Cricetulus griseus: one gene and its partners. The protein of the gene in region 2 purifies or fractionates together with the protein of the main gene of each other region. This does not show direct contact. Links are inferred from orthologs where the notes say so. Each region holds a gene or a part of one and is shown on either strand. Other genes may lie near its edges.

Region 1 (7,841 bases), on a different chromosome or scaffold from region 2:
TTCCTAGATATTTTGTATCAAGACAAAAACCAAAAAACAATTGACTTAGCTCAACTGTGTCCCCCCTTTTTTGTTTTTGTTTTTGTTTTTTTTTGTTTTGTTTTGTTTTTGTTTTTTAAAACAGGATCTCACTGTATATCCCTGGCTGACCTAAGACCCACAGAAACCCACCTCCCTCTGCCTCCTACATGCTGGAATTACCATATGCACCACCATGCCTAGCCTCATGCATCTTTTGTGAGGAGTCTTAAAAGTGTTGTCTGTTTGGGGATGACATCATTTTTTAGTAGTTGCAAGAAAATGAATTCATAGATGGTTAGCTTCAGAATTCCCTTTAGAGTTGCTCATGTTTCTATACAGGGTAAAAATATATGTACCTAGACCACACTAACAATGCTAAGTAACTTTATATGCCCTTTGTTTCATGAGACATGATTTTTGACCATGCAGATGTAAAGATCAACTATTTTTCTGTGTAAAACAGAGCCCTGGGGTTCAGTGGGAAAGGAGAGAAAGTTTTAGGCCTTTCTTGTTACTTTAATCCATATCTTTATTTTCATTGTGTTTTAGAGTCTATATAAAATTTTATTTTAAAGCACCTTCTAAACATATCCTAAAAATGAGCTTCTAGGTTTTTTGGTTGCTTGATTGGTTAGTTTTGAAGGTTTATTTGTTGTTTTTAATATTTTCATTCTTTGAGAATTTCATAGTCTATGCTGATAGATTTCTCTCTCTTTCAAGTCCCTAGCTAGCCTCTCTAGAGAGAAACTTGACATCATCCCAGAATTTATTCTAGGGTTTAACCTTTGAGTATTTTAGACGTAGGAATGTAGTAAGATTTTGTTTTAAAGCTTTGCACTATGTTTATAAATTTAAGAAAGAGTAGAGCAATGGCCCGTGTAGTTCTGTTGCTGGAGTTTCTTTCCAGCCTGGTCCAGTAGCCAATTAGCTCCAAATAAACACAGAAAGACTTATATTAATTTATAAACTGTTGCCAAAGGCTAGGGCTTCTTACTGGCTAGCTCTCTCTTAATTATTAACCCATAACTACTAATATATGTATTTCTACATGGCCTTATCTTACCAGAGAACCACTGGCACATCCCATCTCCCTGGTCTCTACATGGCATCTCTCTTGTGGCTTCACAATGTCTCCTCTTCTTTCCTCTCTTAGCTCTGCCTATACTTCCTGCCTATCATTTGGGGCTGACGGGCGGCAAGACCTGGTGGGACAGAAACCTCCAACTTCAAGTTCTATACAAATGAGTAGTTTTTAGTAACTGCTAATTAAATACAATCAACTTTTTTTTTATTCATGAGACTTTAAGACTGCAGCATTTATTAATACTATAAAATATGTGTAAATTTATGAAGCAAGCTTGAGTCTTGCTACTCCTTCATTTTAATATTTTCTGTTTACTGGACATTGATGTGTTTTAGAAATTGGCATACTCGTGTTGATAGATTTCATTAACTAATTGCTAACATTTGATTTTCTGTATACACATTCTAAGCATTGGATGTACCTACTCTTTATTTTTTGCCTTGTTCTGATGAAGAGAGATGCTATAAGTAGTAGCTTTTCTAAATTATGTAATTCGTAAGTTTTGAATCTGGACTGAGTATGGTTAGCATGGTATTTGTGGGGGCTGAGGCAGGTAGGCTTATGAATGTGAGGTCAGCCTGGGTGTTGCATTGTGAGTTCTTCGCTTGTCTGGGATACATAGCAAGACCCTGTCTCAAAAAAAACAAAAAAAACCAAAAAACAAAAAACCCCACAAAGACGACCCCCCCCAGAAAAAAAGAAAAAACAACAAAAGAAAAAATCAAATAGAATCTGTTCAGTTTGACTTAGAAAATCATTATAAACCAGGCATGGTACATGGTGCATGCTAACATCTGTGAGGCAGGGGGATTGTAAGTTTGAGGCAAGGGCCATGAGGGAGAATAGCAAGGGAGGCTACTATAATATGGTTTGCTCAAGGATTTGAAATATATGGTCCTCTACCCAAAGATTATCTGTAGAACAGTTTTGGGACAAGTATCTATCAATTCTATCCAATGGGGCAAGGATATAGCTCAGTTGATAAAGTGTTTGCAGCACAAGCTTGAGGTTCTGAATTTGGATCCATGTAAAAAGCCAAGTATTTGCTTATAATCCCAGTTCTAGGAAGGAGGAGATGGGGTTTCCTAGGGCTTCCTGGCCAGGTAGTATACCTGAATCATTGAGCTCCATGTTCAATGAGAGATTCTGTCTCATAAAACAAGTGGAGAAGCAATTAAGGAAGACATTCGGTGTTCACGTATGGCCTCCACATGCATGTGCATGCACATGTATGTTGCACAAACGTGTACACAGCATGAAAGACTTTAAATTGAATTTTTTTGAAATACAGATAGAAATTTTGTAGACAGAAAGGATGAAAGGAAATGGCATCCCTAGAAGACAGAGTCAGGCAGTTTCCCAGGAACCATGTTTAACATGGGTAGGTGTCAGGTATGAAGTATAAAGAGTGATGGTAAAGTCATACTATAAAGGACCTGAACTCTCCTATAAATTGTTTAGTTTTCAAGTGAAAATATTGTTCCTGTTTTGATTTCTGCTATCCTGGAAATAATGCCCGGGCCCTTGAGCACATTAGACAGGTGCTCCACCCTGGTTAGGTTCTCGGCATTTTCAAAAGCCCAACCAGAGGATTGGCAGAAGATTGGGAGAGCAGAGGCAGCCAGCTAGCTCCTCAATGTTTTCCTTTAATCATTAATTATTCTTTAAAATGATTATTTTTCTCCATGTGTGATATAAATTGAGGATTCTATATTGTGTCTGACAGACCACTGAGCGAGTGTGTGTGTATGTATGATGAAAGTTTGTGTATGCCACACTGAACAGATGGCAATCAGAGGACAATGTTGTAGAGTGGGTTCTGAGGTCCCTTGCATGTCATGCTTTTTGCATGGCAAATGCTTTACTTGTTAAACCATTTCTGTGGCCTAGACTAATGATTCTTATCCAGTGTTTATATTCAGGATTTTGTGTTATACTTTCCAGCTTTGCATGTTTTAAGCAACAGGTTAATTGGTAATTCATGCTTTTTCCATTGTACACACATACCCATGGCCAGTAATCTCTTGTGTTTATTAGAATCCTTGCTTTTCTTAAACATAAAACTTTTTCTTAAGAAATGAAAAGTACAATACATTGACTGCTTATAATTAGCTGGTTTTCCTCCAATAATTTTTTTTGTAGTACTTATGTGGTAGTAATCGAAAGGACAACATATTTATTGATCCAGGATACCAGATGTTTGAGCAAGAATTGAGTAAAATACTCCGAAGTTGGCAACCAAGCATCCTTCCAGATGGTAATTTTCTTTTTAATATGTGTTAATAGTTGCTAATGGAATTGTTGTTTTTATAGAAAGTATGTTAAGTATAGTTAGGTATGATTTAAATTAGAAAGTAAGAGCTTGTGCCCATGAGCTCATTTGCAAATAAATAGTCAGTAACTAATGCTTTTGAAGAACTTTGTAAAACAAGTGGCCTACTCTGAGGAAGAGTGCAAGGTTAGATATTTATGTCTTAAGACCAACAATATACAGATTCTGATGTGACGAAAATGTATTTGTTTCTGGGAAGCACATGTTGTTTTCAAGGATTATACATATTTTAAATTATTTTCTGATCATAACTTGTTTGTCCTACTGAAGGACAGAAGCTAGCATCCTGTACCTTATTCTGTGGATGGTGGTTCCATACACTGTTCCCCAACCTTTTATATTGTTAAAAGAGCTAATATGTAATTTTCAGGTTCATTCACATTGACCTAATGTGGAAAGTGGATTGGCATTGGGATGTTTTAAATTCACTTTTATTTCTACATGGTTAAATTTAAACTGTTGTATTTATAATTCTTTTAAAATAGTTCTCTCTATTTAAGGGTCAATATTCTCTCGGGTTGAAGAAGACTATCTCTGGAGGATAAAACAACTAGGATCACACTCTCCAGTAGCTCTTTTGAACACCCTGTTCTACTTTAACACTAAGTATTTTGGCCTGAAAACAGTGGAACAACACTTAAGACTTTCCTTTGGCACCGTGTTTAGGCATTGGAAAAAAAATCCTTTAACAATGGAAAACAAAGCATGTCTTCGTTACCAGGTGTCTTCCTTATGTGGAACAGACAATGAAGGTAGTATAATTTCTTTTAAAATCAAAATTTATCTTTATTTTCTGTGTGTTTTGCCTATACACCACATATATGCAGTGCCTCAGGGTGCCATAAGGGTGTCAGATCCCTTGGAACTGGAGGTATGAATGATTTTAAGACACCATACAGATTCTAGGAACTAAACCAAGGTCTTCTGCAAGAGCAGTAAGTGTTCTTAACCTCTGAGCCATCACTGGCCCTGGTATTATAGCATTTTTATTTAGAGATTGTTTGTGATGGGAATAGTCAAACTTTTTCTATCAAAGCCCACCTCAACCAGTCATTAAGAACCTAAAGACAATTGCTTTCATAAAACACAACAAAATGTGTTGTGATTCCCCCCTTTTCCTTCCTTCCTTCCTTCCTTCCTTCCTTCCTTCCTTCCTTCCTTCCTTCCTTCCTTCCTTCCTTCCTTTCTTTCTTTCTTTCTTTCTTTCTTTCTTTCTTTCTTTCTTTCTTTCCTTTATTTCTTGAGACATGGTCTTACCTGTGTATCTTTGGCTAGTCTGGAACTCCCTGTGTAGACCAAGATGGCCTCAAACTCCTAGATATCCTTCTGCCTCTGCCTTCAAACTGTATCTTAAAATGTCTTCGTTTCTTTTTGTTATTTGTTTTGAGATTGGAGTTCTAATTCAAACTGGCCTTAAACATTATATCAAAGAATGACCTTGGAACTGTGCAGTCCTCCTTCCTTTGCTGAGACTACCTGCATGAAACATTGCACCTGTTTTTATGCTTAGCTGATGTTCAAACTTGGGCATCAGGCATACTAGGCAAGCATTCTACCAGCTGCCAACTGAGCTGTATTCTTAGCCTCTCAGTTCCTTTTGTTGGAAAGATACACATTATCAAAACCTACCACACAGAAAACTCTGAAGAGAACCTAATCCAATGTTGATAAAACAGGTGCTATGGATGAATAGTAATTTCTTTCCTCAGAACTGGTTTTAGGGTGTTGGTAAGTAAAACCAGTGAGTGAAATCAGTTGTTGCACATGTCTGACCACTTGAATTGGAATTCTGGAGCCCACATAAAAAGCTAGATGCAGTAGGGTGCACCTGTAATCTCAGCACCCTATGGGGAGAAGAGAGGTAGATGGGAGAATCACCAGGAAGCTCATAGTCCAGCTAGCCTGGAGTATGCAGTTCAGAAGCAGAGAGAGCCTGCCTAGGATAGGTGGAAGACAAGAACTGACTTTCAAAACTCCTCTGACCTCATCTACGCTGTGGCACACTGTGCCCACATTCATACACATAACATACATACACATATACACAAGAAAGAAAAAACGATTGGTTTTAGGAAGCTTACTTTTGTTATTGTTGCTTTTTAAAGATAAAATTGCTACTGGAAAACGAAAACATGAAGATGATGAGCCAGTATTTGAACAAATTGAAAACACAGCCAACCCTTCTAGATGTCCTGTGAAAATGTTTGAATGCTACTTGTCTAAAAGGTGAACATTATTGATATTTGACTTTTATTTTGTAGTACTGGGGTATTGAACTGGTGGCTCTACCACTGATCTACATGCTCAGCCTGATACTTGACTTTTTAAGATGTTTGTATAAGTTGGTTGAATTGAACACTATTAAATGATGGTATTGTTGGGCAGTGATGGTGCACACCTTTAATCCCAGCACTCAGGAGGCAGAGGAAGAGGTCTCTGTGAGTTCAAGGCCAGCCTGGTCTCCAGAGAGAGCTCCAGGACAGCCAGGGCTACACAGTGAAACTCTGTCATGAAAAACCAATATAACACGCATGCACTAACGCACACCCCATTAAGAAGTGACATTTACCATTTTTTGAGATTTCTTTCTTTGTTTAAATGAAAGTTTATATTCCAAAGTTATATTCTACTTTAACTTTAGAGTCCTCTTGTGAAATACCAACCACATAGGCTTTAGGCTTCCCTCCGTGTTAAGCAGTTGCTCTATTAAAAGTATCACTCTGCTATTGTCTTTTATATTAGAGCAGTTCTGTTGCTTGCTAAGCAGGGACACAAACTTTCTATTTAGAGGTAACTATTTTAGGTTTTTGGGTATTTAGTCTCTATCTACTTGATTGTCTTACTACAACTAGAAGAGGCCATATATTGTATAATAGTAAGTTCACGGTACATGGCTTTATACAGGTTGCTGGCCACTGTTTGCCTAGTGCAAAGGTAGATGTCTTTCAAAGTAGGTACAATGGGTAGAGATGAAAATAAAATATTTATAGCCGGGCATTGGTGGCACACGCTTTTAGTCCCAGCACTCGGGAGGCAGAGACAGGCGATCTCTGTGAGTTCGAGGCTAGCCTGGTCTACAGAGCGAGTGCCAGGATAGGCTCCAAAGCTACACAGAGAAACCCTGTCTTGAAAAACCAAAAAAAAAAAAAAAAAAAAATCTAGATGTGAAAGAAAACAGTTTTTTGAAGACATTCTTTGGAAGGTCCTCCAGTTGCATGACTGCTGTCATCCTGTCTGGAATTAGCAGGCTTTGTTGAGTCAGTCCTCTGTCAGATGGTTTCATTTTGAGTGTTTTAAATAAGCACTCTGACTTTCAGAAAGTGCAGAGTTGGGTTTGTAAACAACTTCTCACATTGTAGTGTGGTTTCCAGGGTGGCTGTCAAGAACTTATAAAAGTATGAACTTTACCTTTAGCATGACCATGTTTGTAACAAGTGTAAGAGTAGGTTTCTTCTCTTCAGCTCTGTTCTGGAGCATCAATTTAGTTTCATTTATTTCCAGTGTTGGTGACTATTTGCCAGATGGGAGTTCCTTTCTCAGTATTGTCTTGTTGGTATTTAATGTTTGGGTTTTTTCCCCTTTTCTTTCTTTCTTTCTTTCTTTCTTTTGTATAATGCTGTAAGACTTTACTATGCTGCATATTTTCATCATTTTAAGTCATTTTTTTTTTTTTGCATTTCCCTTTTCCTGAAATGGACATGCACTGTTAAATTAATGCATTTGAGATTATAATTGGCACCAATATAAACATGACTAAAAAAAATAGTGTATATATTAATGGAGTCTTGGATTCTATGAAATACAGGATTAGAATTATAGTAGGGAGCTCATGCTTTTATCACAAAACTTAAGAGAACAATTTACTGATAAAACAATGCGGTTAATGAGGCAGAAGGCATTGAGCACATCTGATGCTGGGGGCTGAGTTGTTCTTGAAATAAGTAAAGTTATGGCGAATTTCATTCTGTTACATGAAATTGACCTTTATCTCTCTCTTCCTCCAAAGTCCACAGAATCTTAATCAGAGAATGGATGTTTTTTATTTGCAACCAGAATGTTCTAGTTCTGCAGATAGCCCTGTGTGGTACACATCTACTTCCCTGGACCGGAACACCCTGGAAAATATGCTTGTACGGGTTCTTCTAGTAAAAGATATTTATGATAAAGACAATTATGAACTGGATGAAGACACAGACTAAAAAGGACCGTTTCAGAAGCTATGGGATAACACAGCATTAGATAGTCATGCTGCTAGATCTTTACAGGAAAACATTTCAAGTTTACTCTTTCTGTTTTAAGTTTTGTAGCAGTGTACCCACACTGGGTATTACCGTGTAAATAATCTGTGAGTGAAAGTTACCATTATTCTATGTAGTGGTTTTAGGATACTTAACAAATACATCA
Region 2 (7,426 bases):
GTCAAAAAAGAAGCAAAAGTGAGGTTTCATCGGCAAAAAATAATGAAGTCTTGAGTTTTGACAACCAGCCTAGACTCAGTATCACAGACTGAAAAATGGTTCTGCTAAGTTGACCACTGTGTTCATACACATACAGAGGAGAAAATGGACAGTACCCAGTGAGTACCGAGGATTCTTTAGGACAGCTGAGTTAAGGCTATTTATGATGAACGGAGCCCTTGTGGAGGTCATGGGAAACAGTCATGCACAGTCCTCTGTAACCATGGCCCAAACAGAGCCGTCTTCCCCAATCCACCTCTCCATCTCACCTTTTCCCCAAGACCTTTGTTTCAGATAACTGCAGCATAGCTTGCTTCTTTCCTAGCCTTTGTGCCTTAAATATAGCTGCCTCAGAAAAGCCTTACCTGCTCTCCTCACTTCTCATCTTTTATTCTGGATGTATTTTTCTCTGCAGCCTCTCCCCTCCATGTTATCTCTTATTTATTTTGGGTGTTACCTTTTGTTTTGTTAGAGTCTCATCATGTAGACCAAGCTGGCCGCAAACTCACAGAGATCTATCTACCTCTGCCCCCAAGTGCTATAATTAAAGATGCTCACCACCTTGCCAGGCTCCCTATACTCTTACATGACATACGGTGTATGACCACTGTTTTGTGTGTCATAGTGCTCACAACAATACCCTCCAGCAAATAAAACAAGAAAACCAACAACAACAAAACAAATATTGAAGAGGTTGAAACATAGGAGTAAACCTTTTACCAGACAAATAAGATGTGACTGACCTGTTAGAAGGCTACAGACCCTTCCACACCCAATTTGCAGTTAGCCATAATCACACTACAACTTAGTGACCATTGACTACCTATCTAGTGGCTCCTGCTCTAGGCAGGTGGGGTATGTCTGAGGGACAAGCCTGCTTCCCATTCCCATTTTCAAAGTGAGTGAACCAAAGTAAGGGAGTTGAGTGTATGCCCCCAGCCTGAGACAAGGTGGGATTCAAACGCAAGCTCTTCTTTCAACTGTAGGCCACACCGCTTCCAGAAGGTGTTTAAGAGATCTGTGGCCTACTTTCTGCCTTTCTCCAAGACCTACCTGTCCCACAGTATCAAATGTTAGCCAGGTATGTGGCTGCCCAGTGAAAGACCATGTTGCAAGGAGTAGACAATAACATGTTCCTAAAGACATTGGGGTGCAGACCTAGTTGGTTAAGTGATGTGAAATTTGGGGATACTGGCTGAGCACTGCCAGTATCCTGCGTTCTAGTACACCTTGTTTCCCGAAAGTCTGTGAGCTTGTTGTTGGTTACACTGGAAAGGTGGCCACCATGCCTAACAAAGCCGCTCTCTCCCATCAGAACTGAAACTTAACCAACTCCACAGTAACCACTTCCAGTGCAAACATTACATGTAAAGGACAACAGACCAGTGCTTGTTACCAGAGATGTTAAGGAGTATGAAGGCAACTATAGGGTGCCTCTGAAATGCTGCTCCAAGGAGCCTTTGTCTTTCATTCTTGCTCTAGGGACCAAGTTCATAGCTTCAAGGTCTTGTGTGTACAACAATGCTCAGAGCTGACAGTGACCTCATGCCCAAGAGTAGAGTTCTACTGCAAGCAAGTTCCTAACAAGTCCATGAATATTTCTGGTGGCCAGGCCTCCAAGCACACCATCTAGAACAATGGTTTGGAATGCAAGCCAGAGTGTTCCCAAGAACACCAGGAATATCCTTAAACAGACAGTGGGGAAATTAAAACTTAAACGTGGAAAGGAGTGGCTAGCACGGCTCTATCGGGGTCACATTCTCAGGGAATATAGAGGTGGGGTGCCAATGAGGTGAGGAATAAATACGCTTGAAGTAGAGTCTGAGGTAGGATTGGGCAGGCAGGTTGCCTCCTGAAGGGTATGGTGAAGGAAGGAGCTCTGGTGTGTGTGGGAGGGTGTCTTTCAGAGGTGAGGTCAAAGGAGGAGCTTAAGGGCTTGTATTCTTCAGGATCGGAGTCTGTACAGAGTGTCCACTTTGAGGCTAGGCTTAGGATGTGAAGACCAGCCACTTGCCCAGCTCTACAAATAAAGCGCTTTATTTATAGTCTCTCCAGGTCCCAGATCCCTGCCGCCCTACCCCATCCTCTCGAGAAGAGGACTGATTAATTCCAGAGGAGCCAGGAGAGGCTGGTCCACAAGGGGTCGTCCCATCGGCTGCAGGTCCTGAGTAGCTGGGCCAGGTAGAGAGCAAAGGCACGAGGCCCTGGGCATCTTGTCCCAGGGCAAAGGCCAGGTCCACCGAAGAAGGTGGCAAGGGTTAGCTCACCAGGGTCAGCTCCCTGGGATCAGGCCAGGGTCTGTACTGGCACTACAGCTCTGCTCATAAGATGGTGGAGCCTCTGTGGAGAGAAAGCAGGATCTACAAGGGGTTCAAGGCACCCTCACTTCCTCCCCCAGCCCCTGTCATTCCCACTCACCATAGGGGTAGCCCCATGAACTGTACTCTGGGGGAAGAATCAAGGCGCTGGTGGTGGGTACTGGGCCCCCGGAGCCTTCTGCAAAGTAGGGGACAGTGGCACCTATAGAGATGCACAAGGGAGGGTGCAGAGAATGTCGAGCAGGGCTTCCAACCTGAACACAGGGATCAATGGTGGCAACAGACATAGAACCCATAGTAGCTGACAGTGGCTGCTGCTGAGAATGGCTCTTGGTAGACAGGGAAACTGGGTCTGAGACGTGGGGGCCACTAGCCACTGCCTCAGCCTCTTCCTGGGGTGGTGCAGAGGGCACAACTGAGGACAAGGCCCCAGGAGAAGACCCTGGGCCTGGACAGGGGCTCAGTGGGGTTTGGTTCACAGCAATATTGCCAACAAAGAGTGGGAGAGTCACGGTGGCTTCAGGTGCCTTCAGGGAGACCTGGAAAGAATGCAGGTATTGAGGAGTCAGGCCAAGGTCACCTAGCCTCAGGCCACCCAGCCCTGGGCAACACCAAACCTGTAGGTAATAGTCGATGTGGATAAGGCTGCAGCCAGGCAGGGCTGACTGGGGAAGGGCAGGCACCAGGATCTGTTCTTGCCACTGAGCACGCCTCCAGGCCTTGACACCTGTACCTTCCACCTCTGCAATGGTTCGCACATCATAGATCCAGCGCTTGGCCTTATAGGATACCTTCTAAGGAAAGACCAGACTGTGGGCTTGGGCAGACCAGCAACCCACCCCTTCTGCCCCATGGGAAAGGGACAGGCTTAGGAAGCCAGAGGGCTCTGACCTGGAGCAAGCTGGCCACCACAGGGCTAGTGTCCTTGCCTGACTGGTTCTCAATGTCAGCCTGCAGTCGAAGCACCTGTCCCACCACATAGCCACGAAGGTCAGTGCTAGCTGTGAGAACCACACTGCCCGTCTTCACCAACTTGTAGGAGAACTTCTTGGTAGTGGAGGCCACATTGGGTTGCTTAAAGTGAAAATGGGCAGAGCTTATGAAGTGAGTACAGAATGCATGCCTGTGGCGTGTGGACAGGCCCTCAGCCTGCAGATCCTGGCTGCCTGGTCTGAGAAGGCTGAAGGTAACCAAGGAAGCCTCTCTTTCATCCTCACCTCAATATCTGGGATGCTGTTCAGGTTCAGGGGGCTTAGGATATAGAACACGAGGCTACATTTGTGATCCTTGGAAAAACGTGGAGTATCGATGGAGGCCTTCACTTGGTGTACAATCTTTCCAAAGGGTCCCTCAAAAGATGTGGGTGCTGTGGCTATGGAGAAAACAGGGATTGGCTGGCACCTCCCACCTGCAGGTCCCACCATTTCAAGGCTGCTGTCCCCACAAGCTTTCCACTCACCAGGCAGCAGGAACTGAAAGGGGAAGTTGTGCTCTCCAGCTGGCAGACTTCCTACAGAGACAAGAAGGAGGTGGGAGCGAACCAGAGGAGATCCATAATGGACACAGTGCCAGACTAGAAGTAGACACTACAGTCCACACTACTGTCTCCGGCACTGTAACAGTATGGTCATAGCAGGAACTAAAGACTACATAGAAGGGCTTGGTTTAAATGAGGGTGTGTGGCTGGAAATGTAGTTGGTAGTGTTTGCCTAGCATACACAAAGCTCTGGTTCAATTCCAAGGACTATGTAAACCAGTTAGGGTAGCACACCCCTGGGAGATGGAAGCATAAGTTTAAGGGCATCCTCAGATAAATAACATAGCTTGGGCTACATAAAACCCTGTCTCAAAAACAAATAAATACAAATTTTAAAAATAAAATTAGAAGCAGGAAGGTGGTTAAGGCAGAGGATGGGATGAAACTGTCATACTGAGGGTCAGAGCCCACCCAGACCCAGTACCAGAGAGTAGGATAGAGTGAAAATCCAAGAGACAGTTGTTGGGGGGGGGGATAGATTGACCCCATTCCAGGCAAGGGTTGCCCCTGTGATCACTCCTGACTCCCACACTCACCCTTGTCAGCCAGTGACAGGGAGCTGTTGAAGTAGCTCTCCTCCACCACCCATGCCCCATCGTTGGCCTTGTTGGAGACCCCACAGGAACCCATGCAGGTCACCCGGATAGCTGTAAGGGGAAGGGTGGCATAAGCCTAAACCAGCTAATGGCCTAGGCTCCTCCCTGTTCCCAGCACAGGAATTCATGTAGGGCTGGAAGTACCCATGGGTTAAGCAGCCTTACCAGCAGAGGTACTTGGGAAGGCCAAGACACAAACAGCCTGTTATCTTCCCAAGAATACCTCCTGGCCATCCCCCATTTTAGTGTTCTTCCAGGGAGCCAGACTGGCAAAGAAACTAATAGGCAGTGTTTCATCTGTCCTACAGACAGTAGGAGGCCAATAATCTCCTAGATAATCCCAGGGCTACCCCCAAATTGGCTACCTCAGCCTCTAGCCAGACTTAGAGGAAAAACCAGGTGCCTTTTGTTTTATGATGCAAATCAGTTAGGCCAGGAGATGCCCCTTCAGTCTCAAGAAAGCTAATGCCAGCTCTCTCCCAGCAGGAATGCAGTCAAACCTGTCTGAGCCAGTCAGCAATCTAGCACTGGAAGGCCAGCCCTGACTTACTTCCTGAGCAACAGTGCCCAGGAGGCTGACTTTCTACACTATGCAGTAGCTGGTCCTCCCCCACCAGTGGGAGTACCCAGAACAGGAACCACTAGAGACAGAGTTCAAATTCCTCTGTCTAACAGACACATCCTGGGTCCACTGTGATCAGGTAGCCATGGGTGAATGAGGAGGCACAGCTGAAACTGGTCACAAAGGAGAAGGCTCAGGCAAGATGGTAGATAGGTGGGAGCCTATAAGAGGCACCCTGAAGTAACTCCCTTCTCCCTTTAGGGTTGGGTCATGGTTTCAGCCCTTTTCCCAGACTTATTTGACAGGCTCATGGGAGGGGTAAGATTGTTTGTTCAGACTCTTTCATCTTTGTGACAAAGCCACCAAGAAGGAGGAACAAAGATATCCAAGTACCTAGTTGACCACACCCGCCTCACTTATAGTCGTCCTACATCATGCTCCAGGCATCCTGCTGGTTACCCACAGAACACTAAGTTTTCTCTTATAAACCTTTGGCTCATCCTCAACCCATGTAGCTATGCACATATGCACTCCCTCACCTGATGACTGCCAGCCAGCACCTGTTCCCACTCTCGAGGTGGTCCTGCATTCCTGCTGTACCATTCCAACCTTATCACCCTAACCTCCAACCTGATCTGAAGTTCACACACTTCTGACATAACCTCTGAAGTTAAACCACCAACTATTCACACCCTGGAATCTGAACATCAGTGGCCTCTGAAAAGTTTCTGCACCCCATAAGCCTCTCCGCCAACGCAGCAACTCAAATTAGACCAAATAAGAAAATGCCCACGTTTAATGGGTAAAACACTCCCGTATGATTTTTGCCCCCCAACCCCAGGAGACAGGAGAGACAAGAAAACCACCTGTTTTCTGGGGGACAGTTTAAATACTCTGTGGGGGTAGTCTTGAGCATCTCTGGGGGAGGAGCCCTGTTTGAAGGGCTTTCTGGGATGGGGCAGGGTTTGGGAAGAGAGAGATGGGGGATGGGTACTGAGGTGTAACTTCCACCAGAACAGCCTCTATAGGCCAGTAAATAGTTCTGAGTTGACAGGGGTAAGAGGACCAAAAATCTGCTGGAGGACACAAGATGTTTCACAAAGGGCACATCTCCCTAAGGATGATCAGCCCCACATCAGATACAAAAGGAAGTATGGAAGGCTCAGCTTAGTCCAGATGCTACCATAGTGCTATCAGGATGCCTACAGTGAATGGCACAGAGCTATTCAAATTCTTCATCCTCAATGAATGAGCAGTAACAAGCTCATTACTTTAGCTGTTCAGTGTAGGGGTAGTTTGTTATTTGAATGACCTTTTTGTAGCAATAGATTACTGGAACCAATACCCAACCATACTGGAAATGAGGAAAAACCCAGGTGACTTACATGTTTACTCATCAGAACGACAACTATTAAGTACTTTGACCCATGTTGAGGTGGGGATGGAGGAGTAGACACTCCTTATAGTGACAAACTTGTGTTTGCACCTATACACGCCAGGACACCCATCAGCTCTCAAACCCTACACTATTTCATTAGGAGTCTCTCATGGCTCTGCCTATAACAACAAGCAAGCATCCAGACTGGACTTCCTACAGTTCAGGCACAGGAGCATGGGACCATTAGACTCCAGAAAAACAAGCAGCATTCACACTGGGAGTAGGGGGGGATCAGACTCTGATCTTCCCAATGCCAGGCATTTTCCCACACAACAGGGTTCCTGGGAGGACCCTGCCAGTGTGAACAGCCTCTAGCCACCAAGGTGAACACACATCCTGTGCTGCTCACAGCTTGCAAACAATATGCCTGCTGCTTCCTCAACAAAATATCTGAGGTTACTTCTTTGTCTCAGCAGGATCACAATCAAGGTGTAAAAATTCCCCCAGAAAATTCCTCAAAGATCCTAGGTTCACTAGCCAAGGACAGTGCCAGCCGCCAGGTATGTACCTTCTCAAATCACTGGAGCAGGGAAAACCACATAAAACAGTTCTGCTTGAGAAATAAGGGAGTTCTGAGCATACTAGGTGGTCTCTCTGCTGCTGCTGTTGCTGCTGTTGCTGCTTCTGCTGTTGCTGCTTCTGCTGCTGCTGCTGCTGCAAGGTGATGGACCTAGCTGTCTTTCATTTACAGTCTGCATATGCCTGTGGTGGTAAGAATAGGCAGGCTGGAGGCAATCACCCGATAAAGGATCCTGATTTCCTGGCTTTTAGTGTTCCTGCTGCTTAATATTACAGTCCTATCACTCTGCTCCCATGCAAAGGTATCTTCTCTGGGAGGCAATCATGGTCCTCTCACCAGCTCATACCCTGCAACACAGCCAGGAAACCAGGGCAAGTGTGTTCTAGCAAGTCCTACAGAGCATCAAGTGGCAGCCT
Region 3 (7,858 bases), on a different chromosome or scaffold from region 2:
CAGTGCAACTCTTATAGAACACTCATACCCCACCTTACCCATCGATTTGAGAACATTCCATCATTAGCATCATTATTTTTTGGCAGACGAAGGGAGGAGCCATCAGTCTTTAAACAAGGAAATGATTCAGAGGACTGAATGTCAGAAGAGATGGAAGAAAAACCAGGAAGTAGAGACAGGGGCACTACTGCTGCTGGGCACACACACAAGTGTGCAAGCACTTCTGTGTGTGCTCTCTAAATGCCTGAGACACAGGAATGCAGCAGCATGGAACAGAAAGAGGCATCCCTGGCTTTTATATGCCTGTAATAGCTGTCATGCGGTTCTATCAGACATCCCAGGGAAATATCTGGTTCAACTCCCAGTTCAGCAAGAGTACCGATAGCTGCATTCAGGTATCCCACAAGAAAGAATTGTGGTAAAAGGGACTCCACCAAAAGCAGCCTGGAATCACAGAGACTGTAAAATGAACTTGTGTTATCAGGGCTGCCCGGCAGGGGCTTCTGCAACAGGATAAAATATGTCTCATCCTGGATCTGTCACCCAGGAACTTCCTAGCTGTGCCTTCATGTCTCCCGCTAGAAAGCAGGGTTGATGTGTCCTGCCCAGTGCCCAGGGGAGTAAAGAACAGCAAATCCCTAGATCCCTCAGCAGCATGTGCATGTCACTCAGTGAACACTCTGTATGATGATCAAAACATTTGGTAGCATCAATCTAGGACAGAAGTCACATATCATAAAAGGAAACGTCTAGGAACTTGAGTAGGAATTCAGGTGACTTACCCATTGGTAAACTGCGATTTTTTTTTTTTTCTTTCTTAAGAGCTTGTTCACAAAACAAAGCTATGTGTGTTGATACTGCAAAGCTGTACAATGGTGCAGACACATCTCTTTCCGAAATGGCCAGTAGAGGGCGGTGTGAGAGCAGAAATGGTGTGATTCCAATAGCCTTTTGGTTTTCTGTGATTGAAGTAAATTATTTGACTCAGAGTTGCTTGCATTTGAATCTGGGAAATCGATATGGACTTGAAATACCTGGATAATTCAATCTTTAGGAAAGCTGGACGTCTAAGGCTAGCACTACCGCAGGCCCAAAAATGAGAGTCCCATTGTGGTCCCCTCTAGCACCAGTCATGGGGTGTGGTCTTCTCCCTCATTGCAGAACACCTTGTTAGGACCTGAGACTCAGTGGAAGGCCAGGGTCCCAGAGAATGGGAACCAGCAGTCCCATTCCTTATTTTGCATGTGAGAAAGGTGAGGTCAGCACCCTCTCCTACTCACAGAGTTGGAGCTGCCATCCAGGAGCAGCCTGTTCTCCTATGGCTCTCTCTCTCTCTCTCTCTCTCTCTCTCTCTCTCTCTCTCTCTCTCTCTCTCTCTCTCTCCCTCTCTCTCTCTCTCTCTCCTTTAATGTGTCCTATAGCAAGACTTTCTTTTATCCCTGGGTCACTTGTGCAAATGAATAATATAACACATCAGGTCATATTGTGCTTGAGCCTGTTTTTACTTAAAATTCTGAAAGTTCCAAGGGCAGTCTGTGGGATGTGGGGGTGGCCTGTGGGAAGAAGGCGAAGGCACAATCAGGATGAAGGGCCATTTCTCCTCCCGCAGTGACCAAATGCTCAGCTACAACCTCGGCAGAAGGCTCCCAGCTGACCACGTGAGTGGCTACCTCCAGTTTAAAGTAGAAGTCACGTCTTCTGTTCACGAAGGTGAGGTGTCTGTGTAAACACATAAGCATGTGTCAGATCTGCCCAGTTGATAGTTAGCATGTAAGCAGGATTGTTGTGTGTCCAGTGCAAGCTGGAATAGCTTTCCAGTGATGGCCTGTCGGCTGTCAAAGCACTTAGCAAAGTCTGCTTAGCAAAGGTTGCTCTAAGAGTTATGTTTGAATTCTGAAACTAGGCTGAAGTTTCTTGCAGGAGCGGGCATCTACTACTCTTGTACCAAACTTCATGCAAGTGTAGCAAGGAGTAGAGGATCCTAGCAGCCAGGGATGCTGCCTGGGTCAGGTGGGATGATGGAACTCAGCGAACTGGTTAGTGTCAGGATAGTTGAGCTTTCTGTCTTCTTCCTCCTGCTCACAAGTGCTGCTTTCCTTCTCAGATGCATCTCCAGAAGCTGTTGGCACCATTCTCGGAGTCAACACTGTTAACGGAGATCTGGGCAGCCCTTCAGATGACGAGGATATACCAGGAAGCCATCATGACAGCACTGTTTGTGCCAATGGGCCAGTGTCTGAGGACAGCGCTGCAGATGGAACCCCCAAGCATTCTTTCAGGACTAGCTCTACTCTGGAGATGGACACCGAGGACTTAATCTCTACTTCCTCAAGAACCTCACCTCCCAGAGGCCGCCAGGATTCACTCAATGATTATTTAGATGCTATTGAACACAATGGACCCTCCAGGCCAGGGGCAGCCACCTCCTCCGAGCGGCCCATAGGAGCCTCTCCCAAACTGAGGAGTAGTTTTCCCACTGATACAAGACTTAATGCAATGCTTCACATTGACTCAGATGAAGAAGACCACGAGTTCCAGCAAGACCTAGGTTACCCATCTTCCTTGGAGGAGGAAGGAGGTTTGATCATGTTCAGCAGGGCATCCAGAAGTGATGCTGGGAGCCTGGCATCTCAGACCAAGCCAGAGGAGGACAACCCTGTTGAGAATGAGGATGCCTCTGTTCATGAAGCCGCTTCCTTAGAAGAGAGACCAGAGAGCCTTCCAGAGGTTGCAGATGGTACCTTGCCCTCAACTGCAGCCCCTGATGACAATGAAGCCAGCCTAGAGCCCCATCCCAGTGCTGACCAGGGCAGCACTGAATTGTCAGGCTCTCAAGAGGCTGATCAGCCCACAAGTGGTGCAGACACGGGAGCCTCTGACACATCCGGAGGGAGCCGCAGAGCTGCCAGTGAGACTGAGTCCCTGGACCAGGGTTCTGAACCTTCCCAGGTGTCCTCTGAGACAGAACCTAGTGACCCTGCCAGGACAGAGAGTGTGAGTGAGGCCAGCACCAGACCTGAGGGAGAGAGTGACCTGGAAGGTGCTGACAGCTCATGCAATGACAGCGTGACCACACAGCTGTCCTCGGTGGAGACACGGTGCTCATCTCTGGAGAGTGCGCGATATCCAGAAACCCCAGCCTTTTCTTCTCAGGAAGAGGAAGATGGGGCCTGTGCAGCTGAGCCCACCAGCAGCGGCCCTACAGAGGGGTCGCAAGAGTCCATCTGCACTCCTGGTTCTTTACCTGCTGTGCAGGTGCCCAGTAGGGAAGAGGAAGAGCCAGGGGCTGAAGTCGCTGCTTTATCTGAGCAGGGAGAGCTGGGGGAGGTCTGGCAGAGGAGGGGGAGTCTGGAGGGGGCTGCTGCTGCTCCTGCTGCTGCCACTGAGAGAGAGCCCCAAGAAGATGGGGATGCTGGAGACACCCAAGGTGCCTGTGAAGAGGCCACTGGCCAGGAGGAGGGCGCCACTGGAGGTAGGATATAGAAGACAGCATGACTCTTGGTTTAGGCAAAACTGCTCAAAAAGAACTCTTACAGTTTCCCTCCATGTAGATTATAATGCAGTTTAGCAAAAGGAATAAGAAAGGGAAGAAATGGAAGCAGGTAAGGAATATGGATAGCTGAAGCCCTTCTTGTGCATCAGGCCTACCAGTCCAGATCTGGAGAGGCCAGACTTAGGGACTTAATCGTTCACCATTCACATAGCTGGGAAAGAAGATGCCATGGTTTCCAGGCACATAGACCTCAGTTCAAATTCAGTCTTTTTAAAACATGGATCATCTACTGCTACCATACGAGGCCTGGCAAACAGCAGCCTTCAATCTTAAACAAGATGCAAAACCAGTCACTACCTTAATGTAATGTGTAGGGGCTATCAGGAGTACCTCTTTGTTACAGCTCTGGATCAGATAGTGTGGGCTTTTCATCACAACTCTGTCCAAAGAGGTCAGCTGTGTTAAGCGATAGTTCTGATGCATGAAGAGGGAAAACGGGAGAGAGCATTGCGTAAGTGCCCGAAGTTTCAAGCTCAGCTGAAAAATCTGTACTGGATTTTAGTGAACATGGCTCCCAGGAATGATTTATGCAAAATGTTGTAGAGAGAGGCCATAAAAAGAGAAAGGGCAGTTTGAGGTGCCTAAATATCAAAGACTCAAAACAGGAGTTATTCCTTTTCTTTTGGAGTAGGAATTGATGCTAGGACCTTGAGTTGATATGGCAGGCAAGCCCTGTATGAATGAGGTACATCCCAGGCCTAGGAATTATTTTCTTATCGTGTGATTTACTTTTCTACCTAAATTACCATTTTCTTTCCCTCTGACTCCTATTTTGCTTTTCATTAACCTCTGGCCATTTTGTGACCCTAAAGTGTTAGTGCATGAGCAAGTTAGAGGCCGTGAGGGGTAAGGAAAGATGCACGCTGGGGACATTTCTCTTGGGTCACCTCTTCTGAGCCCCTACACTCATGTGGGAAATGAGATAAGAGAGCATAGACAAATTGGGATTGATATTTGAGGTGTTTGTTTGCTTGTTTTTTATGCTAGCCTGGGCTAGCCTAAAACTGTCCATCCTCCTGCCTCAATCTGCTGGGCCCTGGGATTACATATATGTGCCAGCACATGTATCCTAGATGTCTGTTCTTTTATTGTGTGGTGTGTGTGTGCATATGTGTGTGTGCACACACATGAACACTCATAAAAACAGTAGCCAGGTAACTTGGTAACCTTTATCTTTAATCCTAGGTTCTCAAGCCAATGGGCACCAGCCGTTGCGGTCACTACCTTCAGTGAGACAGGACGTCAGTCGGTACCAGAGGGTGGACGAGGCTCTCCCACCAAGTGAGCAGCTGTTAGCTAAAGGCTTATACTGGCAGTGTGCAAGAGTGACAGGCAGATCCATTCCATGGGTCCTGGAGAAGAAGGTGTCTAGGAGATGACCAAGTGGCTGTCATCTGGGATGCTCTGTATGGTCACTACTCTCTGGTACTATTCTAAATGAAAGGGCAGCTAGGAAGAACAAACATTGTTCTGCCCATGTTAAATGCCATAATTGTGGAAGTTCATCCATGTATCTCAGGCATTCGTTGCCTAAGAGAATTTTTTGAATTATGTCTCACAGCAGCATGATTTTCATTCAGTGAGTAGGCAAAATGGGGAACTGTCTTAGAAGGACCTCACCCTGTACTATTAGTATGGGATTTCCTTTCTTCTGTCAGTTTACACTAAGCACAAGGATCTTAGTTCTTCCTTAAGGATATATAGGGCATGTTACTAACTTCAGAAATTAGCCTACAGTTTTGGGGGATATAACCATTGCTTGATGGTTTAAAGGGTGTTTTGTTCTTTTTACTTCAGAATACACTGAGCACTTTAATAGATGGTTGAGGACTAGGGGTGTGGGGGAAATGGTTCACAGTCTAAGTGGTACTAGCCTACTCTTAAGCAGCATGAAATATGAATTCTATTTAAAGTTCCTGAGTCTCTTACAACAATATGTTGAGAACAGCTCGCTGTGGTGGCTGAGCACACAGCTCTGTAGATTCGGTGTTGGAGAAGCAGCCGGAGAGATGCCCTCATGACCTGTGGTTTTCCCCATTCTTCACCCTCTGCTCTTCTCTCCACTCACCTGTCTTGACACACATGGGCCTTCATATACTTGAAATACTGGGTTGTGAAGAGAAGCAGCAAGCAGTTCTGATGCTGAAATACTCAATGGTGTGATCAGGAGGGAGCGGACAAGAGCCATTTGCTACTACTGTAGTTTGTCAGTATAACTGCTTGATCATTCTGGAATTCCATTGTACACAGATTTCTCACTTTTTCATACCTTTGGGTAAAGATTAAATACTATTCCTGGGGGATATTTTGGTATGATTGGAGCACAATGGACTGGGAACATCAGGAGAGAGTAGTGGGAGAGCTTTGTATGTTTACGTGGATCAGTCACAGAGTTTCTGAGCATTGGAAAAGGAAGCATAGCTTTGCATGAGTGTTCTGGCGACAAGCACCCTCCAGACAGGTGGAGTTCCTCTGGGATCTGTTGGACATAATTTTGATGTAGAGCTTACATTTTTAAAAGAGATGCTTTCTTGCTGAAATCAGGGTCCTATTCACAATATTTCAATCGCCTTGTTTAAACACTGATAAATAGAACTGTGTGGATAATTGGTTTTTTTGGCAAACAGTTGGCATTTTAGTTTAATAAGGTGATAAACTCAAAGAGCAAAAGTGATTTAGTCATATGTCTTGTTTAGTGAGTGATTAGTGTACAGGAGATAAATCGTAAGACCTATACCTGTTCAGTTGCTTTCAGTAGTGGTTCTGGGTGCCAGCCAGCCCCCACAGACGATATTTTAAGTCCATCAACTTCCTTCCTTCATAACGGTGTGGTGCTGGGCTTCAGGAGGAGGGGGCAGGGATGCCAAACATCTGAAGATGGCAGGACAATCTGGAAAACAAAGATTTGTCCCATCTAAACTTCTAGTATGCTTTCGGAGAGGCAAGTGTCCACACCTACTCAGCAAATGACATTTCAAGAAGAATATATAACCAGGTCTTTTCATTTCAAAAGCTCAGATCTTAAAGTATGTCTTTATAAAAATGAGATATATACATGTGTTACAGGAACAATCAGCTTGGAAGTTTGCAGACTTGTAACGGGAGGCTGGGGTCTTCCTATCTGAAGACTGTTCAGCTGTGTATCTATTCTCATAGCTCATCTTGTCTGTTCCTGCTAGCTGTCTATCCCCTCCCGACCCAGCCTTTTTATGCTACTTCTGTCTCTGTGTTTTTATTCTTCATGTTACAAGGGTGATTTTTGTTCCGTGTGCATGAAGTCTGGATAAACTGAGGAACTTGTTGATGGTCCCTGGCTAGGAAAAACTGAATCAGAGCCATTCCTTCTCCTAGACCCAGCAGTCTAATCCAAGGCTAGAAGAGAATCGAGGTGTGTGGACAAATGAATACAAAACTGTCTAGAGGCACTGAGGTGGTTTTTATGGTTGCATGCTGTTTATTAGGTGCCAGAAACACTTAAGGCACATTAGAAGGTTTGGGAATTTTGCTGCAACCTCATTTGTATTGTGTTTTAAGTCAAACCTGGGGAGGTGAACTTTTCTCTTCTTGTGGGAGAGGCTTATGCAGTAGGACCCTGTCTGGGGAAGTCCCTACCTTATGAAAGGAGTCACTGTAACTGTGTGAGCCACCTTTAAGTAACCCAGATAGATTTGTCCTGTTCAGCCTTTGTGTCTAGATGAGCAGCACACTTTGCTCTGTCTGTGCTTTGCTATCCCCATCCTCACAGGACAAGCCATGGAACCAGTGCACTTTGGATTTGAATGTCTCTCAAACTTGGCTCTTCTTATTTTTATCTTGTGTTTGTATCCTACCATATGCTGAGAAAAAGTACCTCATAACTTACATTGTTTTTCAAAGAGTTAAAAACCCAAACTGGAGTTGGGCAATGGTCACACACATACACACACACACACACACACACACACACACACACACACACACCTTTAATCCCAGTACTTGGGAGGCAGAGGCAGACAGATCTCAGAGTTTGAGGCCAGCCTGATCTACAAAGTGAGTTCCAGGACAGCCGGGGTGACACAGAGAAACCCTGGCTTGACAAACCAAAATACTACTACTACTACTACTACTACTACTACTACTACTACTACTACTAAATAAATAAATAAATAAATAAATAAATAAATAAATAAATAATAAAAACCAATTTGGGACTCACTCAGACATTCAGCTAAGCACTCAGGCCAATCACATAGTAGTCTACACTGCCTGGTAATAGTTTTGGAGCATCTGTCTGAATTGTTTTATTTAAAGGAGGTGTTTGCAGCT
Region 4 (8,463 bases), on a different chromosome or scaffold from region 2:
TGCCCCCTGACAAGAGGATTTAGACTACAGAAAGGCTCACAAGGATAAGACCCTGACTTCTAGCTCTAGCATTGCAAAAACAGACAGTTTTTAAATGGCCCTGAAAAGCCCAGGCTCTGTTTTAGTTTCTTAATGTTTAGCAACTGTGCCACAGACAATCCACATAGTGCCCGGGCCCTGGTTACACAGCATATGAGGGAGTACAACAGCCCTGACAGAGCAGTAGGGATAACATGATTGGGAAGGCAGTCCAGCCGCCCACACACCTTAGGACACAAACACGTGACTTCCGAAAAGCAGTCTTGTCCTGAATGTCTTCCACAACTGCCAAGATGGTGGTGTTCGAGGTCTGTCCAGACACACTTTAGACATGAGCTTACAGATGGCTGTTTGAACGGCAACATGGAGCCTCTGGCTTCTTCCCTGCTAATGCCCATCAAAGACTGTTCCTCTCGCTCTAACCCTTGCTCAGATGCAGGTGCAGCTACAGATAAAAAGGCAGAAATCTTGACAGTGCTAACCTGAAGCTGCAAGCTCAGTGGGGAAGCATTTGCTTCATAGGCAAAGCTCTGAATTCAAGCCAGAGCATCAAAACAATGAAAATAAAAAAAAGTTCCACTACTACAGACTCTGGTGCCGACCAGTTAGAGTAAATAACCATGTTTCTTCTAATAGAACTCATCTCTTCTGAAATATCCTTGTTTCAAACTTTAACATCTATGAAATACAGATGCTTCCTAAAATTGACAGTATGTCTTACTTTGACAGCAGTATTTGTTTTTTTCTTAGTGGCACATGAAATAATGATGCATCTTAAGTTGGTCAGGGCCTTGAAACAAATCCAATATGCAATTACGGCCAAGTTAACCTTAAGTGTTCATTAGCAAGTTTATAATTACATACAAATCAGTAGAGACCCCTAAGGTCATAGAGAAGAGCGCTGACTGTGGCTACTACACACACTACCACACAGGGGAGGCATATAATGCTCCTAACTGTCGCCAGGTGAGAACGTGACCCAGAGAAGCTACATTTCTCATCATTTTTCACGAACCCTCCCAAGCTTTAACACACTATGGAGACCACACTAATGAGAGCTAGCCGTCAATTTTGGTCAACCCAAACAAACCCACAATGTTTAGCTCATTTTCCAAGATCATGAGTAATCTATCTATGAAAACCTTGCAATATGCTTTGACAAAAAGGGAGATCTGGGAGCAAACTTTAAAAACTAGGGCTCTGGGGCCAACAGGCCTACTTTCGAGTGTTGTCACACAGTTCATTTAAGCTCTCTTAGCTTCCATTCCTCAGCCAGAAATGACACCATACCTCAAGAGTTTCAATGAAGCACAAGTTAGATGACACATGCTTAAGGCTTAGTCCTTACTGCATACAGTTGTCCACATGGAATAAGAGATACATCCAAGTACCATCTTATGTCAGCCTGACCTTCATTTCTATGTCATTTACCCCATTCTAGCCACCAGAAATATGTTAAGTGACATATCCCATTGTTTTATTTGGTTTTGGTTGTGTTTTTGTTGTTGTTGTTGTTGTTTTTTGTTTGTGTGTTTCATGGTTTGTCTGTCTATTTGTGACAAGGTTCTGGCTTTTAGTGCAGGCTGTCCTCAAGCTCACCATCCCTTCTTCTGTCTCTATATGCTGGGGTACCATAGCTAATCTTTTCAGACGGGTGTCATTCAAACTCTTGACATCTCACCCAATAGGAAAATCTCCCCCCCCCAAAAAAAAACAAAACCAAAAACAAAAAAAACTGATACCTTTCTCAGGTGTAATGACAGGTTTCAAAAGAGTAACAGTAATATTCATGAGTAAACCTTACCAAAACAGGCTACAGATGGCCACAAATAAACTCAAACAAGAAAAAGCCCTTCAAGGACCCAACCCAGATGCAGAAACTAGTCCAAACCTTTCTGATTCCAAACCAAATCTTATCCTCAGCCATGAATATGAACTGTTGTTCGTTAGCTTATCCCTTCAATACCAAAACTCATCTAATAGTGATTTCAATTTTGGTTTCTGAAACTGACATGCCTTAAATTATAGTGAGTATGAATTAGAAGTCACCCAAGGAAATACAGCTGCAATGCATACGTAGCACATACACCCACAGAAGCAAAACCTATATCTTAATCCTTCTCATTCAGTACACTAGCCAGACCTTAGGCTGATGCCCCAAGCAGCGATGTCTTGGCCCTGCCATCCTGCTATGCTCTAGGTTAGCACTATGCTTGACCAATAGCAGTACATAGCTCACAGTGGCTTTATAAGATGGGGCATGACTAAGTTCCTTCCAAATACATAAAGCTTTCTGCCACTATCAAACATGAACACATGTCTACCTACAAGGAAACCCTGGGTACAGTGCCCGATTTTCTCAAGGTCTACAAGTAGACTCCTCTCTACCCCTACACGGGTGTCTCCATGTGATACTTGCAGCCCTCTGGTGCTCACTATTTAACACAACTTGACAAGCCTCTAGTGCTGTTCATTTCATCAGGCAGTCCACTTTCAGAGCCTGTTAATTACTCTCATTTGTTTGCTTACACACTAATTCGGGAGAGGCGACAAAGCAAGCAAATTTAACAATTTGGTGTTAATACTATATGAAGGAGTTCTGTATGTCTTCAAATGGCCCCCTCCCTGAACAGAGGGAAACCTCCCACACCAAACAATTGCCTTAGAAATATGAAGGCAATCATTTTCTATTGGTGATAGAAAAATGAAAAAGGGAGGCAGATGCAGCTTATTTTGGATCATATATGATGTTTGAGGAACTAAACAGAATACATAAATAGTGTTTTTCATCTCCTCTTGCTATTCCCTATACAGTCCCTCTGACAATACGCAGGAGCGAACAGTCACAGGCACACTCGGTTCTTGTGTCTATGTTCTCCACTTTGACACCCCACACCAGTCAGGATCAGCAGCGATTCTCGGAGACAAAAGTGTCAAGATGCTCCTGAGGTGGATTCTGACACTGGCTGCCAGCATAAACAAAGCGCGCGCACACCAGTGACAGATAGGATTCCTTTAGGCAGATACATTTCCCAAAACACCCTTAAAATATTTCTTTCAAGGAGCTTTTAAAAATAAGCATGTTATTTTTAAAAATTAAGAGACCCTAAGAAGAAACGCAGCTGTCTTCATCTCCCTTGATACCTCATCCAGGGAGCCCTTTGTTCAGTATCTCAGCACCTCCAAGAGCTCAGACTGCCCTCCAGCTCTAGACAAGGAGCTAGGAGGAGAATCCCCTGGGTAAACAAAACAAGTCTACTTTCACCCATCTCCAGGTAACAGCTAACAGCACACACACACACACACACACACACACACACACACACACACACACACACTTTATTTTACACAAGCATGACAAATAATCAAAAACATATCACACATTATTTGCATTGTGATCATTCTTTGATAAAATAAGCAATCCAGCAAGCACTATCAAAAAATAAAATCAACCCTTACATGCCCTGCCTACCTCAAGATACCCATTTCATTCCACACTTAGGTAGAATACACACACTCACACACCATGCCACAGTAGGAAAGCAGTACACACACACACACACACACACACACACACACACACACACACACACACATGCCAATAGGGAAGCTGCTGAAAGCAAAGCCATAACGTGAATCTGTGAATCGGTCTCACATAATAGACTCTCTTTAAACCCCACCCCCATCTCCAGAGAAAGAGAGAACCTCAGAAAGAAAGGAGCGAGGGTAAGAAAGAGAAATCAAGAAAGCCCAAATTTCCAGGCATCCACTTTTCATGAAATGCACAACCAGGATAGGAAATACCTCCCCGCTGAGTAATGCTTCATGGGTTGTAAATTCACCTCTCGAAAGGGGAGCCAGACCTGGGCGCGCACCCCGCCAGATGGCGAACCACTCCTACCTGCTCCATCCAGCCTGCCTGTCACTCCGAGCCCGCGACAGGCCTCCCACCCCCCTTTTTGGCAGAGCAACACACCAATAAGAGTCGAGAATGGCTGGTCGAGTGAGGGCTGAGCAGTGATTTAGCAGGATCCTTTCAAAAGGGGGAGTGGGGACCGCGATGAGCGAGTGAGATTTTTTAAAAACAAAGCCCTCTCCAGTCAAACCGACCGTTTGGGGGTGTGGCTTATTTCATTCGTTTTATTAATAAAAGAGATCAATGGAGCTTTCTTCTCTCCACCCACCCCAGAGGTGCGGGGCTTTGAATCCTCTTGACGAAGGAGAAATGGCAGGGCTGCAAGCTTCCCCTAAGTTTCCTGCAGCACCTGCCTCCTTCTCAGATCACCTCCACACACCAAAATAGAGGAGTTCGAAACGCACAATCCCAGCTCCAGACTTTGCAAGACCCAGGGGCGGCCGTACACAACTCTCCCGGTGTCACCCCCCCCCCCCCCGGGATCTGCACACATCCGCTGCCGAGCGCCCACTAGCAAGAAAAGTCCCAGAAGGAGACACCACCAGGCTCCTCAACAATCCCCAGATAGCCTGCGCCACGCAGAGACCCCTGCAGCGACCCAGACGTGACACTTGTCACGGACTCCTGGCTGCAGGGGCATGACCAGGAAAGTTGCCTAACAGCCCTGAGAGACGCAGCTTGCAGAGGAAAGGGACCCGCGGGGCAGCGACTCACGCGGCCTCCGCCCACCCCGAGAGCCCCGGGCAGAGGAGCGGAGCGCTTCACCCGGACAAGTCACCCACCGCTCCGGACCGCTCTGGGTCACCCGGATTCCGGGACCCACTGCTAGCAAGGGACGCGCGCAGCGGAGTGGCCCCGTCCTCTCCCCACAACGCTCTAGGCAGAAACTCACCTCCTCTTCCGAAAGTCCGTAGACGGGCTCCCCGAGCCCGGTCGCCATGGAGCCGGCGCCCCGCGCGGGGTCCTAGACGCTGCGATCGGCTGAAGTGCGTCGCGGGGCCGCGACCCTCTGTCCTTCTGCGCCGCCGGGCGGGGAAGGGCCGGCAGGTGAGGCTGCACCCGGCCGCGGCGCCGCTTCCTCCCGGAAGGCTGCGGGGACGCGCGGACTGGCGGCTCCGAGAGCGCGCCGAGCGGCGGCTGGCCGAGCGCTCTCTCTGCTCAGCGCTCAGCCCGCGGGCTCCCGCCCCCGCCGCTGGCTCTCCCGGCCTCCCCAAGCCCCGCTCAGCGATCCCTGGGACCCGCGCCCCCGCCCCTCGCCTGCTCCGCCCGGCCCGCCCTCTCCGCCCCGCCTGCGCCGCCCGGCGCCCACGGCGACCCTCCCGTTCGCCGGGGCGGGCACTGGCGCCCCCCAAGCCAATCACAGGCCGGGTTGGGGGGCGGGCCGCGGGGGTGGTGGTGTTTCGCCCCACGCCCACCCCACCCCCAGCGCCTCCTGGGTCACCCGCCGCAGAGTCCTGGACTGGGGCGCGCCCTGGCGGGCTGGGCCTGCCGGGCTGACCCTCTTACTTGCCCCGCTTTTCTCTGCCTTGGGGACCCGGTGGAGTGGACCTTAGGGGGACCATGAAGACGCCGTGCAAACAACAACAAAACCATTGTTTCCATTTTTATCTTTCTTTTTTTTTTCTTAACCCGAAGTCTCCAGGAGCGTTAAAGGGGCGACGATGCATGTTTCTAGACCCCCTTTAAATTCTTGGCAGCTATGGCAGGCCAGACTTGGCTCACCGCGTCAGCTCCCCGAAAGGATTCGCCTGGCCGGGCGGCCAGCCTAGGAGAGGCTGCCCCGTTGTGGCCGCGAGTCGCCATTGCCGATGTCAACTCTACTGGGAACAAAACCAACTCTGCGCCCGCGCTGAGTACACACCCACCCACTTGAAACCGGGCTGCCTGGTTCTTTGATAAAAGCTCGGGCTTTTTTTGTAAGGCACAACGTGAAATACCAAATTCAACTTTAAGTTTGTCCTTTACATATGCAAACCTTGGAGACGTCTTATTAGCCACCGTAGGAGTCTTCCCACATTCCAGATAGGGAATTTCTCTAGCAAGCCCTTCATTTAATCTTTCGAAGTACAGGAATGCAAGAAGCTACTTTAAATAAGTTAAGAGAAATTCGTCACTCTACTTTTTTCAAGAAGCCTCCCCTAAGAGCCAGCCGTGGTGGCACACGCCTTTTAATCCCAGTACTGGGGAGGCAGAGGCAGGCAGATCTCTGCGAGTTCAAGGCCAATCTGGTCTACAGAGTGAGTTCCAGGACAGCCTCCAAAGCCACAGAGAACCCTGTCTCGAAAAACCAAAAAACCCAAACAAAAAAAAAAAACAAAAACAAAAGGAAGGCATTCGATCCTAAAAATAAGTGTTGTGTGCAGTGGTAAATTAGAAACAAGAACAGAAAGAACGTGCTATTTTCCTTTAAAAAGAAATCATCAGAGTGTCTGGTTTTGTCTGGGAGGTTAGGATTTTCACTGAAGGAAGAGAGAACAGATCAACAGAGTCACCTTGCCTGGCCCACCTTAATGATCAAATACCTGGTGTACACCCTGAAAGGCGGTCCCACACTCCCCAACTTTAGCTCTCCCTTTCATCCCTTGCAATGTGTCCCATGTAATAGCTTTCCTTTGAAGCCAGCCTTGTGGAATCAACACACTGCTCCGAATCCTCGGAATTCAGAGCCATCAAGTTTATATGGCGCTTAGGTGCCACAAGAGCCCTACCAAGAAAAATAAAGATTGTGAAGGAACATTTCCCAGAACTCTGCTCGTGTTTTCCCATCAAGAATTTTCAACTTATCAAACCTAGACTATTTTTCTTTTTTATAAAAAGTACACGGACACACACACACACACACACACACACACACACTCATTTTACACGCCCTTCTCTGTGCCTCTGACCCATATAAATGGAAGTTCCTTAATATACACAAGCAGAACTTTGTCAAATTTGCACCTTATGTTACAAGGTCAGTAGAAAGAGCTAATAAACTCCAGAAAGAAAACCATCTTTCTGGCGGGGGGGGGGGGGTTTCCAGAGATGATTTGGTTACAAGCCTATCCTCCTTCGAATGCCTGTAACTGGAACTGCACAGGATCAAATGAGTACTTCCGTCTTCACATATGGGCACACACGCATGCAGACATACACATATAAATAAAACAAATTTTAAGAAAAATGTTCATTTCTGATCCTAGAGGTAAGGCTGACTTAAACAACTAGTCTCTCCAAATAGAAACATTCTCTCCAGGATCGAGGCAGACTCCCCCAGACAGTTATAAGGCTTACAAGCCCTGAGCTGGTTACATAAAAACAGTAAATTGTTGAGAGAAAGGCCAGCTCTCCAGTGGCACTCCCTGGAAGTTGGGCAGGGAGTTCCAGGGATGCAGCCTATCCATGGAGCAACTATTCATGACCATATAGATGGGCTTTTCCATGACGCAGCTGTATTTGAGTCATCCATGTCCCTTTAAGTGATCATCGGTTCACTAAGCTACAGTAGAGAAAGTATTTCATCGTGTCCTACCAGAGATGAATATACATCTGTTCATCTCTCCCCAGGAAAAGTCATACAACAGGCTGAGTCATCTGGACACTGTAGAAGGGTGTCATACTTCTTCATCCTGTTCTTCGTCATCCTGCTCCCTCCCCACCTGCAACAAAACAGCCTATGCCACCTGCAGTCTGGGTCATGCCCTTGACATTCACTGAGGGATGGATATGAGAAGTGGGCCATGGTCGTGATCAAAATACATGGTATGTGTGTATTACATTCTCAAAGAATCAATAAAAGTTTATATTAAAATATTCATAGGAAATTTGCTGTTCATCATTTATTATGGACAGTTTACAAAATTACAATCTGTAACTTCATTCAGCATCCCAGATGAGCAGATTCAAACAAAACATTTACTTGGAGGTCTGTGAAAGAAACTTTACTGCATTTCAAGGAACTGATAAATTCCTATGGATGGTTAAAATTTTAAAAAAAGTTTTATTTATTGTTGGTTTGGTTTTGTGTTTTATAGAGACAGGGTTTCTCTGTGTATCCTTGGCTGTCCTGGAACTTGCTCTGTAGACCACTGGCCTCAAACTCACAGAGATCCACCTGTCTCTGCCTCCTTAGTGTTGGGATTAAAGGCATGCACTGGTGTCGGAAACCCCCACCACACCCATACCTGCCCCTTCCGATTGTGATTTTTGTTTGTTTGTTTGTTTGTTTGTTACTTTGGCTACCAGGAGATGCAGAGCACCAAGCCATTAAAAAACAAACAAACAAAAAAAAAAAAAACCGCACTTCAAACTATCAATGTCCTTTGTAACTGTGTACCAGCTTTCTCCCAGTGCAGTGGTCTTGTACACTGGATGCAGGGTAGAAGCATCTGGGGAGCTTTAAAAGTAGACAAAAAGCAGGTTGTCCTCCCAAGGTCAGTGGAGGAGGGCAGGTATCGGTGGTTACAGAAGCAACTCAGGTGATCCTCACATGCAGGTTAGCCTGAGACCTACCTGCATGTGGTGAT

Evidence for each region.
Region 1: the proteins of Arrdc1 (region 2) and Zmym2 purify together in Homo sapiens (affinity purification with mass spectrometry; 3 studies listed by BioGRID and IntAct, counting the BioPlex papers as one, with this or other methods). This does not show direct contact. The link is inferred for Cricetulus griseus from reciprocal best matches to the Homo sapiens genes ARRDC1 and ZMYM2.
Region 3: the proteins of Arrdc1 (region 2) and Hecw2 purify together in Homo sapiens (affinity purification with mass spectrometry; 3 studies listed by BioGRID and IntAct, counting the BioPlex papers as one, with this or other methods). This does not show direct contact. The link is inferred for Cricetulus griseus from reciprocal best matches to the Homo sapiens genes ARRDC1 and HECW2.
Region 4: the proteins of Arrdc1 (region 2) and Nedd4l purify together in Homo sapiens (affinity purification with mass spectrometry; 3 studies listed by BioGRID and IntAct, counting the BioPlex papers as one, with this or other methods). This does not show direct contact. The link is inferred for Cricetulus griseus from reciprocal best matches to the Homo sapiens genes ARRDC1 and NEDD4L.

Annotation. Positions count from the first base shown.
Region 1 is NW_023276807.1:212,011,820-212,019,660, forward strand, and holds part of Zmym2 (zinc finger MYM-type protein 2), read left to right. Parts: intron 1-3,247; coding exon 3,248-3,362; intron 3,363-3,922; coding exon of another isoform or gene 3,923-3,936; exon of another isoform or gene 3,937-3,937; coding exon 3,938-4,189; intron 4,190-5,542; coding exon 5,543-5,663; intron 5,664-7,443; coding exon 7,444-7,636; 3' UTR 7,637-7,841. UniProt on the Homo sapiens protein: Involved in the negative regulation of transcription.
Region 2 is NC_048599.1:136,275,472-136,282,897, forward strand, and holds the end of Arrdc1 (arrestin domain-containing protein 1), read right to left. Parts: intron 7,193-7,426; exon of another isoform or gene 6,999-7,192; intron 4,542-6,998; coding exon 4,431-4,541; intron 3,868-4,430; coding exon 3,817-3,867; intron 3,730-3,816; coding exon 3,575-3,729; intron 3,432-3,574; coding exon 3,249-3,431; intron 3,152-3,248; coding exon 2,975-3,151; intron 2,897-2,974; coding exon 2,458-2,896; intron 2,400-2,457; coding exon 2,326-2,399; coding exon of another isoform or gene 2,312-2,325; 3' UTR 2,054-2,311; downstream 1-2,053. UniProt on the Homo sapiens protein: Functions as an adapter recruiting ubiquitin-protein ligases to their specific substrates. Through an ubiquitination-dependent mechanism plays for instance a role in the incorporation of SLC11A2 into extracellular vesicles.
Region 3 is NC_048595.1:408,498,883-408,506,740, reverse strand, and holds part of Hecw2 (E3 ubiquitin-protein ligase HECW2), read left to right. Parts: intron 1-1,609; coding exon 1,610-1,710; intron 1,711-2,104; coding exon 2,105-3,472; intron 3,473-4,738; coding exon 4,739-4,834; intron 4,835-7,858. UniProt on the Homo sapiens protein: E3 ubiquitin-protein ligase that mediates ubiquitination of TP73. Acts to stabilize TP73 and enhance activation of transcription by TP73. Involved in the regulation of mitotic metaphase/anaphase transition.
Region 4 is NC_048595.1:174,382,805-174,391,267, forward strand, and holds the start of Nedd4l (E3 ubiquitin-protein ligase NEDD4-like), read right to left. Parts: upstream 5,196-8,463; 5' UTR 4,896-5,195; coding exon 4,848-4,895; intron 1-4,847. UniProt on the Homo sapiens protein: E3 ubiquitin-protein ligase that mediates the polyubiquitination of lysine and cysteine residues on target proteins and is thereby implicated in the regulation of various signaling pathways including autophagy, innate immunity or DNA repair.